2 linked regions of the Caenorhabditis elegans genome follow. The protein of the gene in region 2 purifies or fractionates together with the protein of the main gene of each other region. This does not show direct contact. Each region holds a gene or a part of one and is shown on either strand. Other genes may lie near its edges.

Evidence for each region.
Region 1: the proteins of Y87G2A.20 (region 2) and ucr-2.3 fractionate together in Caenorhabditis elegans (co-fractionation; one large-scale study listed by BioGRID). This does not show direct contact.

What each region holds. Positions count from the first base shown.
Region 1 is NC_003281.10:877,715-882,108, reverse strand, and holds ucr-2.3 (Peptidase M16 N-terminal domain-containing protein), read right to left. Parts: upstream 2,250-4,394; 5' UTR 2,245-2,249; coding exon 2,170-2,244; intron 2,119-2,169; coding exon 2,062-2,118; intron 2,020-2,061; coding exon 1,873-2,019; intron 1,829-1,872; coding exon 1,400-1,828; intron 1,336-1,399; coding exon 996-1,335; intron 949-995; coding exon 713-948; 3' UTR 651-712; downstream 1-650. Other genes in the region: zer-1 (Zyg eleven-related protein 1), read left to right, coding at 51-228; T24C4.5 (DNA primase), read left to right, coding at 2,535-2,634, 2,680-2,938, 2,990-3,200, 3,245-3,550, 3,603-3,683.
Region 2 is NC_003279.8:13,527,931-13,533,250, forward strand, and holds Y87G2A.20 (F-box domain-containing protein), read right to left. Parts: upstream 3,533-5,320; 5' UTR 3,515-3,532; coding exon 3,496-3,514; intron 3,418-3,495; coding exon 3,279-3,417; intron 2,895-3,278; coding exon 2,791-2,894; intron 1,237-2,790; coding exon 1,135-1,236; intron 1,055-1,134; coding exon 984-1,054; intron 935-983; coding exon 776-934; 3' UTR 760-775; downstream 1-759. Other genes in the region: Y87G2A.25 (uncharacterized protein), read right to left, coding at 1-33.

The sequences.
Region 1 (4,394 bases), on a different chromosome or scaffold from region 2:
CATGTGGGTACTTTTCAGTGTTAGACGACTAATCTGATGTTTTATTACAGACGCAATCCGAAATCAATTCCTGCCGATCTAGCACATTCCTCGAATTCTCCAACATTTGTTCCAAGTTATGTGTCAGATGTCGAGGAAGAAGATGAAGGAGACGTTGAGGCAGATGAAGAGGTTCAAGACTTTGTCAATGTCGATTTTGATGATTATGCTCTTCCAATGGAGTACTAGGGCTTTGTCCTGAATCCTATAAAAGTTTTCTTTCATTTCTGTTATTTTCTATCGGGTAAGCACCGCTCCTCTTCTTTCTTCTCATACAATTTAAACCACTTTTCACCCAAATCTGTGTTAGTTGCTGTTCAGGAATCACTGAAATCAAAGTTATTCTTCTCTAAAGCTCCCCACGCCGCCTTCAATCTCTGTACATTATTATTTTTATCTAGAATATCCTCATTGGGTTCTGGTCGTTCTTCTGTCTGTCCATCATCCCGGTTTCTCCCCATCCCGTCTTATTCAGTTTCTGTTCCCAAGCTCCTCTCTGTCTTGGCTATTGTCATTCTCGTGCAATTCTATTTGTATTTTACTGTACATCTTCCCGCTAAAAACTGAGCTCTTTTCCATTTCATAGCTTCACTCTGAGTCTATGGTAGTAAACGATTTGATGTTTTTAAGAGAACGAAAATTAGCACAAAAAGTTGACAAAAACGAATTTAAATTAAAGCTCGTCGGCATATGGGATTCTTCCGTAATTTCCATATGCAGAGATGGCGAGACGTTCGAACGCGGCTTTGGTGTACTTCTGCACATCACTTTCTTGAATTTTTTGAATTTCCGCAATCAATTCCGACTGTTCTGGACCGTTGTAGAGGGCGTTTGTCGCCAAATCGTAGGCAGAGTAGACGTTGTTTTCAGCGTTGAACAAGATATCGGCGATAGCACGGCGCTTGCAGCCTGAAAAATATTTTATTTTAAAAACCAAGGGCTAATCTCGACTATACCTTCAATATCCTGAACTTGAGTAGTTCTCAACACCTTGACAGTTGCTCGAACAGCAGAATCTGCATTAGCTCCGGTTGCGAGCAAATAAACACCAACAAGGCCACTTCCATCATATGGTGCCTGGAATGCACTTCCAGTAACTCCTTCCGGAAGATTCGCAAGAGCGAGTCCACTGGTTGATCCTGGAAGTGATGCAAATTTCAGTGGAGAAGCACGTCCGATGTGAGCGAGAAAAACTGCCTGGGCAGCCAAAAATTTCAGATCTCCAACCGCTGCTCCATCTCCAGCAACCATTATATGAACATCATTTCCACGAGCGAAACGGCGATAGTCTCCACCCTAAAATGATTTTTTATTCAATATTTATTCAACATAATAAAATTTTTTTTTAAATTTTTCTCACCCTGAAAGGTGACCCCTGATTGGTGATGATATGCCCGTCTGGTACGACACCACACTCCTCGGCATAACTTTTCAAAATAGACCCATCGACATTAATTCCAACGAGAACGGCATTTCCGGATACAAAATGCTTGGCAGCGAACTTGGCAAGTTCCTGGGATTTGTAAGCGCCAACTTGTCCTTTGGAGGAGTACAGTGAAAACGAGAGGGAATCATTGCGGAAGGCAGCGCGATGAATATCCTCAAACACAATTCCATATGGAGTTTTCTGTGATAAATCAGCAAGAATTGTTGGAGTAACATCCTCTAGTTCCCATGGTTTAAAAGCTGGTTTGGCAGCAACGTGGCCGAGGATTGAGAGAGCGTAAGCAGCTTGATCGCGAGCAACACTTATTTGAACACCGAAAATATCACGGGTAGCGAAAGAGTTCTGAAATTAAAATGAAAATGGCAATTTAAAGAGAAAGAATTAACCAAATTGGCTCCACTGGCGGCTGATGACCAAACAAGCTGCAACCCTGGATAAGATTGAGCATCTCTTCCAACAAAGTTTCGAACGTGATGCACAAGTCCAGGCTGAGTGACCTTTTCATAACGAGAACCAGCACGAAAAGCGAGGATCTAGGAAATCGCAAATAGCTTTATTACTCGAATGCGACTCACCAATTGACTAATCGCTCCATTATTTTCTTGAGAAACAACTTTCAATCCATTGTTCAGCTGAAAATTCGATTTTAGTCGACTGAAAATAGGTTTCAACAAATAAATAACCTTTGTTTTGAGTGATCCTGTTGGTTTTTGGGTTTTGATGGCAGCTGCACTTTTAGACACAAACGATGATCTCATTTTACCTTTAAATAACTAATTTACGGAAAAAAACAATAATAGAGCGAGGAAAACGCAAATTAATAACTTGATTAAAAATGAGAAAATGATTCGTGAAATTCAAAGATGCGCGGTCGGTGTTGCAGACAACACACTGAATCTTACGACAAAACACACACTGTGATGAAGCATGCAAATGAGTGATAAGTTTGACGGAGTGATAATGAGAGCGGGCCATATGTGCGTGTTTTTGATAATTTTTTACACTTTCTAGCTTGAACCAAATATTTATACTTTTTCAATTTTCAGAAATGTCTTATAACTCAATCAGACTCCCACAAGATTTGCCAATATACTACAAAAACTTCTTCCCAGTCAAACCATTCACAAAATGGCTCTGCTACGGACAGAGTGAGTTTCGCTTTCGATTTTCTTAACGTTATTTGAATTTTGCAGATTACGGAGACTATTTCAACCGCCGAGAATTCACATTCATCCTGGCAGATGATGTTCATATCAGATATCGTAGTTACAATGACGAACACTCATTTGTCAAAGCACTTTCAAGTACTAATCCTGAAAAACTTGATATTGGAGCTGTCTACAATCACGAGCCAATTAACAACAAGAGATATACAGATTACCAAGCTGTGGAACGAGAATTGGTTTTTGATATCGATTTGACCGACTACGATCCAGTTCGTAATTGTTGCAAGTGCGTTATTAAGAGGATCTGTAATCCAATTTTCGAATATCTAATTTTTAGAGATGCCACCGTCTGCCCAAAATGCTGGAAATTCATGGTTCTCGCTGTCAGAATCTTAGACTTCCAACTGGAAGAAATGTTCAATTTCAAAGCACGAATGTGGGTCTTTTCTGGTAGACGTGGAGTACATTGTTGGGTCGGCGACAAGAAAGCGAGGATGCTGAACAACAATCAAAGGTCTGCAATTGCGACTAGACTCAATTTATTCAAGGTTAGAAGATTTGTCTGTTTTTAAAAAATAATTTTTTTTCACAGAAAAATGGTCAATGCGAGGTGACTGAAGGTCGGGCCAAATTGACGAGAGTTCCGCCGACTGTGCGTGACGCTTTTAATGTTGCATTGAAAGATGGAGTTTTCGAGAAAATGATCTATGAACAGGGATGGCTGGATAATGATCGTTTTATCATAGATTACCAGTATATGTCCGAATTCGGCAGAGATGACTTGCGTAGAATATCCGAGTCTTTCAAAACTCCACAAGAACGCTGGCACATGCTTCGTGGGCTTTTTGATAACGACTATCGCAAAACGCTTTCTCAAAATGACGGACTTCTCGATTTTGTAAGTGGAAGCTTTGAGATAATAATCAGAAAATGGATAAATTAATTTTCAGACAATGCAAGGTCGCGACCGAAAAAGGTTCTTCTCTACTTTGTTCTTCAACGATGTTATCCACGTCTTGATGCAAATGTAACTACAGGTGAATAGTTTTTTGTTAAATACCTAGAAAATAATTTCAAAATCAAAAAGAAATCATCTTATTTCAAAATAATATAGTAAATTCACCAGATTTTGACATGCATTGACATGCATGACATGCAGTCACACGGATTGATTCAGATGGGTCTCGGCGTGCAAAAAAAACTCCGTGGTAGTATTTTTTATTTTTGCGGCTGCTTCCTCGTTCATTTTCCTGAATTTTGTTGTTGAAAAATAGAAAATAAATGAGGAAACTGCCAAAAACATTAACTTTTTAGCTATCTTAATAAATTCTTGATCCTTTAAGGAGACATGCCGAAATCTTGGGAAATTACGCTACTGAAAATGTTCTTTGTTTCGAAAAGAGTTTTTCTTTAGAATTTCCCGCCCCACAGATTTCGAAAAATTTAAAAATATCTGAACGAAAAAAAAATAGTTTCCTAACTAGTCAATTGATTTTTTAATGAAACTGCGTTGATTTTATACTAAACATGCACATTTTACAGGCACAAATCACTTGCTCAAATCCCCATTCTGTATTCATCCGAAGACCGGAAACGTTGCTGTTCCTCTGAATGTCGAAAAAATTGGCGAGTTCGATGTAAGCAAATGCCCACGAATTGAGTAAGTGAAAAGTTGTATTTCTAATATTATTCTCAAAAAATTTTTAGTCATGTCGTGGAAGAGTTAAGCAGTCTGTTGACTG
Region 2 (5,320 bases):
AATGTACACGTCATACACTTTTGGAAGCAACATTTTGAATGTTCAAAAGCCTGAAAAAAATCGAATTTTTGGTCGCGGCTCACACTACAAACTATAACGTTTTATCGGAGAAGAGAAAATAAAAATAAAGTTCTGACTACAAACTACAAAATTTGATGTGAGAGCCTCAGCCGAAACCTTTAACAAATTGAAAAAAAGCTACAAACTTCAATTCAAACATTGAAATTCAACTCGGAAATTGGTTGAGGCTAAAACTACAAACTACAAAACAAGCTGAGCCTCAACCAAATATGTGTGCATGTGACATCTGTTTCCATGTATATTTTGCTGTCTGCGTCTCTTACTCTCTCTCTGCTGTCACCCGGGGTGTCCCTTTTTAATCCATATCCTCCCTGCCTCCAGATGTTTCTCTTATTAAGGCTCAGGGACACTACAAACTACAAACTACAAAAAGTTGTAGTTTGTAGACTGTAGACTACAAACTACAACATTATAAAAATTTATAGAAAAGACATAATTTTGAAACAATTAATTAAAATTTATAAAATTTTTTAACAATAACAATTTTTAAGAACTTACAATTAGGCTTAGGCTTAAGCTTAGTCTTAGGCTTAGGATTAGGCTTATGCCTAGGCTTTAGCTTAGCCTCCCGCAAGTTCATAAAAATGATAATTGAAAGCATTTTCTGTCGATCATAGTTTTCAAATCTGACAACAATATCTGTACTAACTCAATAGAAATAAAATAATAACCCATGAATTAAATAATAAAAAGTTTATTGATGTCCAGGAATCAAAAACAAAGCACCAAATCTATTCGACTGAAAAGGGCCTCTAGATGTGCACGTGGGCCGTTCTGAATCCTTAAATAATTTCATTCGACCTTCAGCACTACTCATGTGTTGAGCTTCCATGATTTGATGATCACTGTTGTTCTGAAAGAAAATTAAATATTCATATGAAATCATATATATATGCTCTAACCTTGATATACTCCAAAAATTCGTCTTTAGTGAGCTCCGCAACTGATTTCCGTATGTTTTGAAGTTGATCCACTGAAGAAATAATTAAATAATTAAATAATTAAATAAATAAATAAATGTTTGAATAAATATGTTCATTTATTCATACTTACATGACATTCCAGAAAACTTCATTCCACCCTCTTTATCATTTCCAGCATCGTCCTCTTCTTCGCTTGCTGGTTGTTGTTTTGGTTTCTCGGCTTTCTTTTGTGCTGAAAATGTTCTGCGTTTTCAGATGAAACAATGTTGAAAAGCTTGTTGTCTACAAGTTAAGTCATGTTTCGACATCATCTAGGTCAACAGATAAAGCGGCCGACGCCTCGTGAGTGCATTTTTAACATTTCTCTTGACACCGACCCTGTAACTCAACCAGTAACCCGAGAATGTAGAAAAAATTGTCCCCAAACAAATTTATATTTCATGTATGCATTCGCTTTTTGAAATAATGACCAGTTATATATATACATATATGTTCAAACAAGCACTACTCGAAAACACATGATTTTTGAAATTTTTTTTTGATTATAAATTATAAATAACTACTATTGTAGTTATGTTTTTTATACTTGAACAACGAAAAAAGTTTTCAAAAACTTTACTGATCATTATTTCAAAACGCGAATAGAAATTTGTTTAATTTTATCAAAAAACTCCACATTCCTGACTAGGGTGCCCGTCAGAAGGTGCCCATAGGACTTGCATATGAAACCTATGTCATTCGATAGCCCATGTCTTAAAACGGTTACTCGTGAATTTTTAGCTGCGAATCTCCAGATTCAAGCTCACGGCGAGCTCTCGAAGATCCTGAAAATAGCACTGTAACGAAGATTTGAAGGGCCAATTTTCCAACTTCACTTCGGTAGCTCATATCTCGGCAGATAAATTTTTTACAGAAAAGTCATCAACTAATAAGTTGTTGAACTTTTTGTAAAGAACAAGTTTGTAGTTGAAAGTTTTTACCAAAAAAAGTGTTGTTTCAGATAGAAGCGCGTGAAGTGCGTTCAACTGTTGTTACTATTTTAATGCTGCTACTGCTACTATTCTAATAATTTTATCTGAAACAACACTTTTTTTGGTAAAAACTTTCAACTACAAACTTGTTCTTTACAACAATATCAACAACTTTTTAGTTGATGACTTTTCTGTAAAAAATTTATCCGCGGAGATATGAGCTACCAAAGAGAAAATGGGAAATTGCTTCTTTAGATCGTTAAACTTCTTCGTTACAGTGCTATTTTCAGGATCTTCGAGAGCTCGCCGTGAGCTTGAATCTGGAGATTCGCAGCTAAAAATTCACGAGTAACCGTTTTAAGACATGGGCTATCGAATGGCATAGGTCTCAAATGCAAGTCCGATGGGCACCTTCTGACGGTTCCCTAATGAGTCATAATCGACTCGCGAGGTGTCGGCCGCTGTTTAATGTTTAATCATGGTTTAATTTGTACACAACAATCTGAGTTCCTAGTGTTATTTTTTTGCAAAAACTCAAAAATCAGCGAGAAACCAAAAAAAAAGCATATACTTTTCGCCACCAATGTGCAATTTTTAGGCATAGGTCTAGGCTTAGGCTTGGGTTTAGGCTTGGGACTTGCTTTAGGTTTAGGCTAAGGCTTGCGTTTAGGCTTAGTATTAAGCTTAGGCATAGTCTTAGGCTTAGGCTTAGACTTAGGCTTAGGCTCAGGATCAGGATCAGGCTTAGGCCTATAGTTGAACAAGATTAATTTTGTTTTTTTGTAAAATTTTGTTCAAATTTTGAAAAAAAAAACCTTTCTGCTTCTTCTTTTTATCCTTTGATTTTTTCTTTCTTTTAGCAGCATCCTTTTTTGTTTTCTTCTTAGCTTTGTCGGCTTTCTTTCGTTCTTTCCGTTTTCTGTAGCAAAAAGCAGTTATTACGGAAGCACAAAACTATAAGCATGCGTATTGCACAACATATTTGACGCGCAAAATATCTCGTAGCGAAAACTACAGCAATTCTTAAAATGACTACTGTAGCTCTTGTGTTGATTTACGGGCTCGATTTTTAAAATCGTTCATTTATTAAGATTTATTAAAATATTAATGATAATAATAAATATTAAAGCTGGCAAAAAATGAGAAAATATCTTCGAAAATGGAGCCCGTAAATCGACACAAGCGCTACAGTAGTAATTTAAAGAGTTACTGTAGTTTTCGCTACGAGATATTTTGCGCGTCAAATATTTTGCACTGTACGCATTCTCAAAATTTAGTGTTCCCATAATATAAAATCTCTTACTTTTGTGCCGTTTTAGTCCATTTTTTCTTCATTTGAGCTTTTCTTTTCGTCGCCTTTGTCTTTGTTTTATTCGCTTTTCCACCTTTTTTTGGTTTCTTACCGCCACGAGAAGCGGGCCGCTTCTTTGCAACGGGTGCTTCTGCAATTTTTAAATTTAATTTAAAATTTATAAAAATTAAATTTAAAAAAAAAGCTTGAATACTTTTGAATAGCTTACTTGATTTTTTTGCAGGCATAGTTGTATTACATTGAGAAATTGAAAGAAATAAATCAAATTTTTATGAAAATTTTTATCAAATCAATATGAAAAACCATGTTCCATTTTTTTCACGTCTGACCTTTCTTGTTTTCAAATTTATTTTTCCAATAATCAATTTAACGTGAAATTTCAATTCGACATAACAAATTAACCTTATTTTTTCATTTTCCAGAAAAAAATTATATTTCTTAGTTAGTTAATTAGGTTCATTTGCTCTAAATCAGACATTTTTTAAGGTCTCACTTCAAAAATTCTCCAAGAAATGCAGAAATATTTAGGCTTTGATCATGATCAATCAATTCCCGCCAATCTGTGAAAATTCTGATTTTTAGGAATATTTTTTCCCGTCTTATTTGCATGTCGTAGTTTAGTCAATTTTAAGGTTTTTTGGAGGATAACTTTTAAAATGATAAAATTCACTTTTCTGGAAAATTGAAAAATAATGGGCATATTATTAAAATTTTTGTCTTTTTTGGTCCTTTTTCGGCCAATATTTATGGGATTTTCTGGCCCGACTTCGAAAAATTCCCTTTATCAAGATTTTTTGTAGTTTTTCCTTTTTTTTTTGGTTTTCACCCCTCTCCAGATAAGCCTAAGCCTAGGCCCGACTTCAAGGCCTAAGCCTAATCCTAAGCTTACGCTTAAGCCTAAGCCTAACCCTAACCCTAACTCTAACCTTAAGCCCAAGCTCAAGCCTAGTCCTAAGGCCAAGCATAAGATTAAGCCTAAGACTAAGCCTATGCTCAAACCTGAGCCGAAGTCAAAGCCTAAGCCTAAGCCTAGTCCTAAGCCATGGTGCAACCAAAAAATTCGACCAAAAAATGTATGATTTTTAAAATGTCTGAAACTTATGTCAAATTGAAATTTGCTTTTAAAATTGAGTTTAGACATTTTTTAAGATGAGAAAATTCAATTGTTTATTTGTTTTTTTTTCAAAAAAAACTTTAAAGGGGGAGTAGAGTTTATGGGGAAATATATGTTTCTGACTCTAATTTTGCCCCTGATACCGAATATCGATGTGAAAAAATTTAAAAAAATTTCCCTGATTTTATATTAATTTTTAAAATCCGAAAATCCATTGGATGCCTATATGTGAGTTTTCAAACGCAAAATTTTCCCGCCAGAGACGCCCCGCCCACGAATCCGTGCCGCACGTGTGGGTTTACGAGCTGAATATTTTCCTTCTATTTTTATTTGATTTTATACCGATTTTCGTCGATTTTTCTCATTTTTTCTCATTTTTTTGGTGTTTTTTATTGAAAATTTTGTGATTTTCGTAAATTTATTCCTATTTATTAATAAAAACAAAAACAATTCCATTAAATATCCCATTTTCAGCGCAAAATCGACTGGAGACGAGGAAAATCGTCTGGAGATAGAACGAATCAACAAGATTATTATTATATCATTAATAATATTTATCAATTTTCTTCTGAGAGTCTCATTGAGACTCTTATTTACGCCAAGAAATAAATTTAACATTAAAATTGTTCATTTTTGAAAAAAAAAAATTAAAAAAACACATTTTTTGGAAAAAAATAAAATAAAATAAATTGTCCTCGAGGATCCTCCGGAGCGCGTCGAATCAATGTTTCCGGAACTCTGAAAATTAAATGTTTGTATTATTGTAGAACCTTTTCGTTATTGAGATTTGATAACTTTTAAGTAATAAAATTTTCGCAGTAGGACATTAAAACATTTCACAATTAAGCTGGTTCTGAACTGTGTGAAGTATATTGAAAAAAACTAACTGATACAAAAATATAATTTTATGATAGTTTTC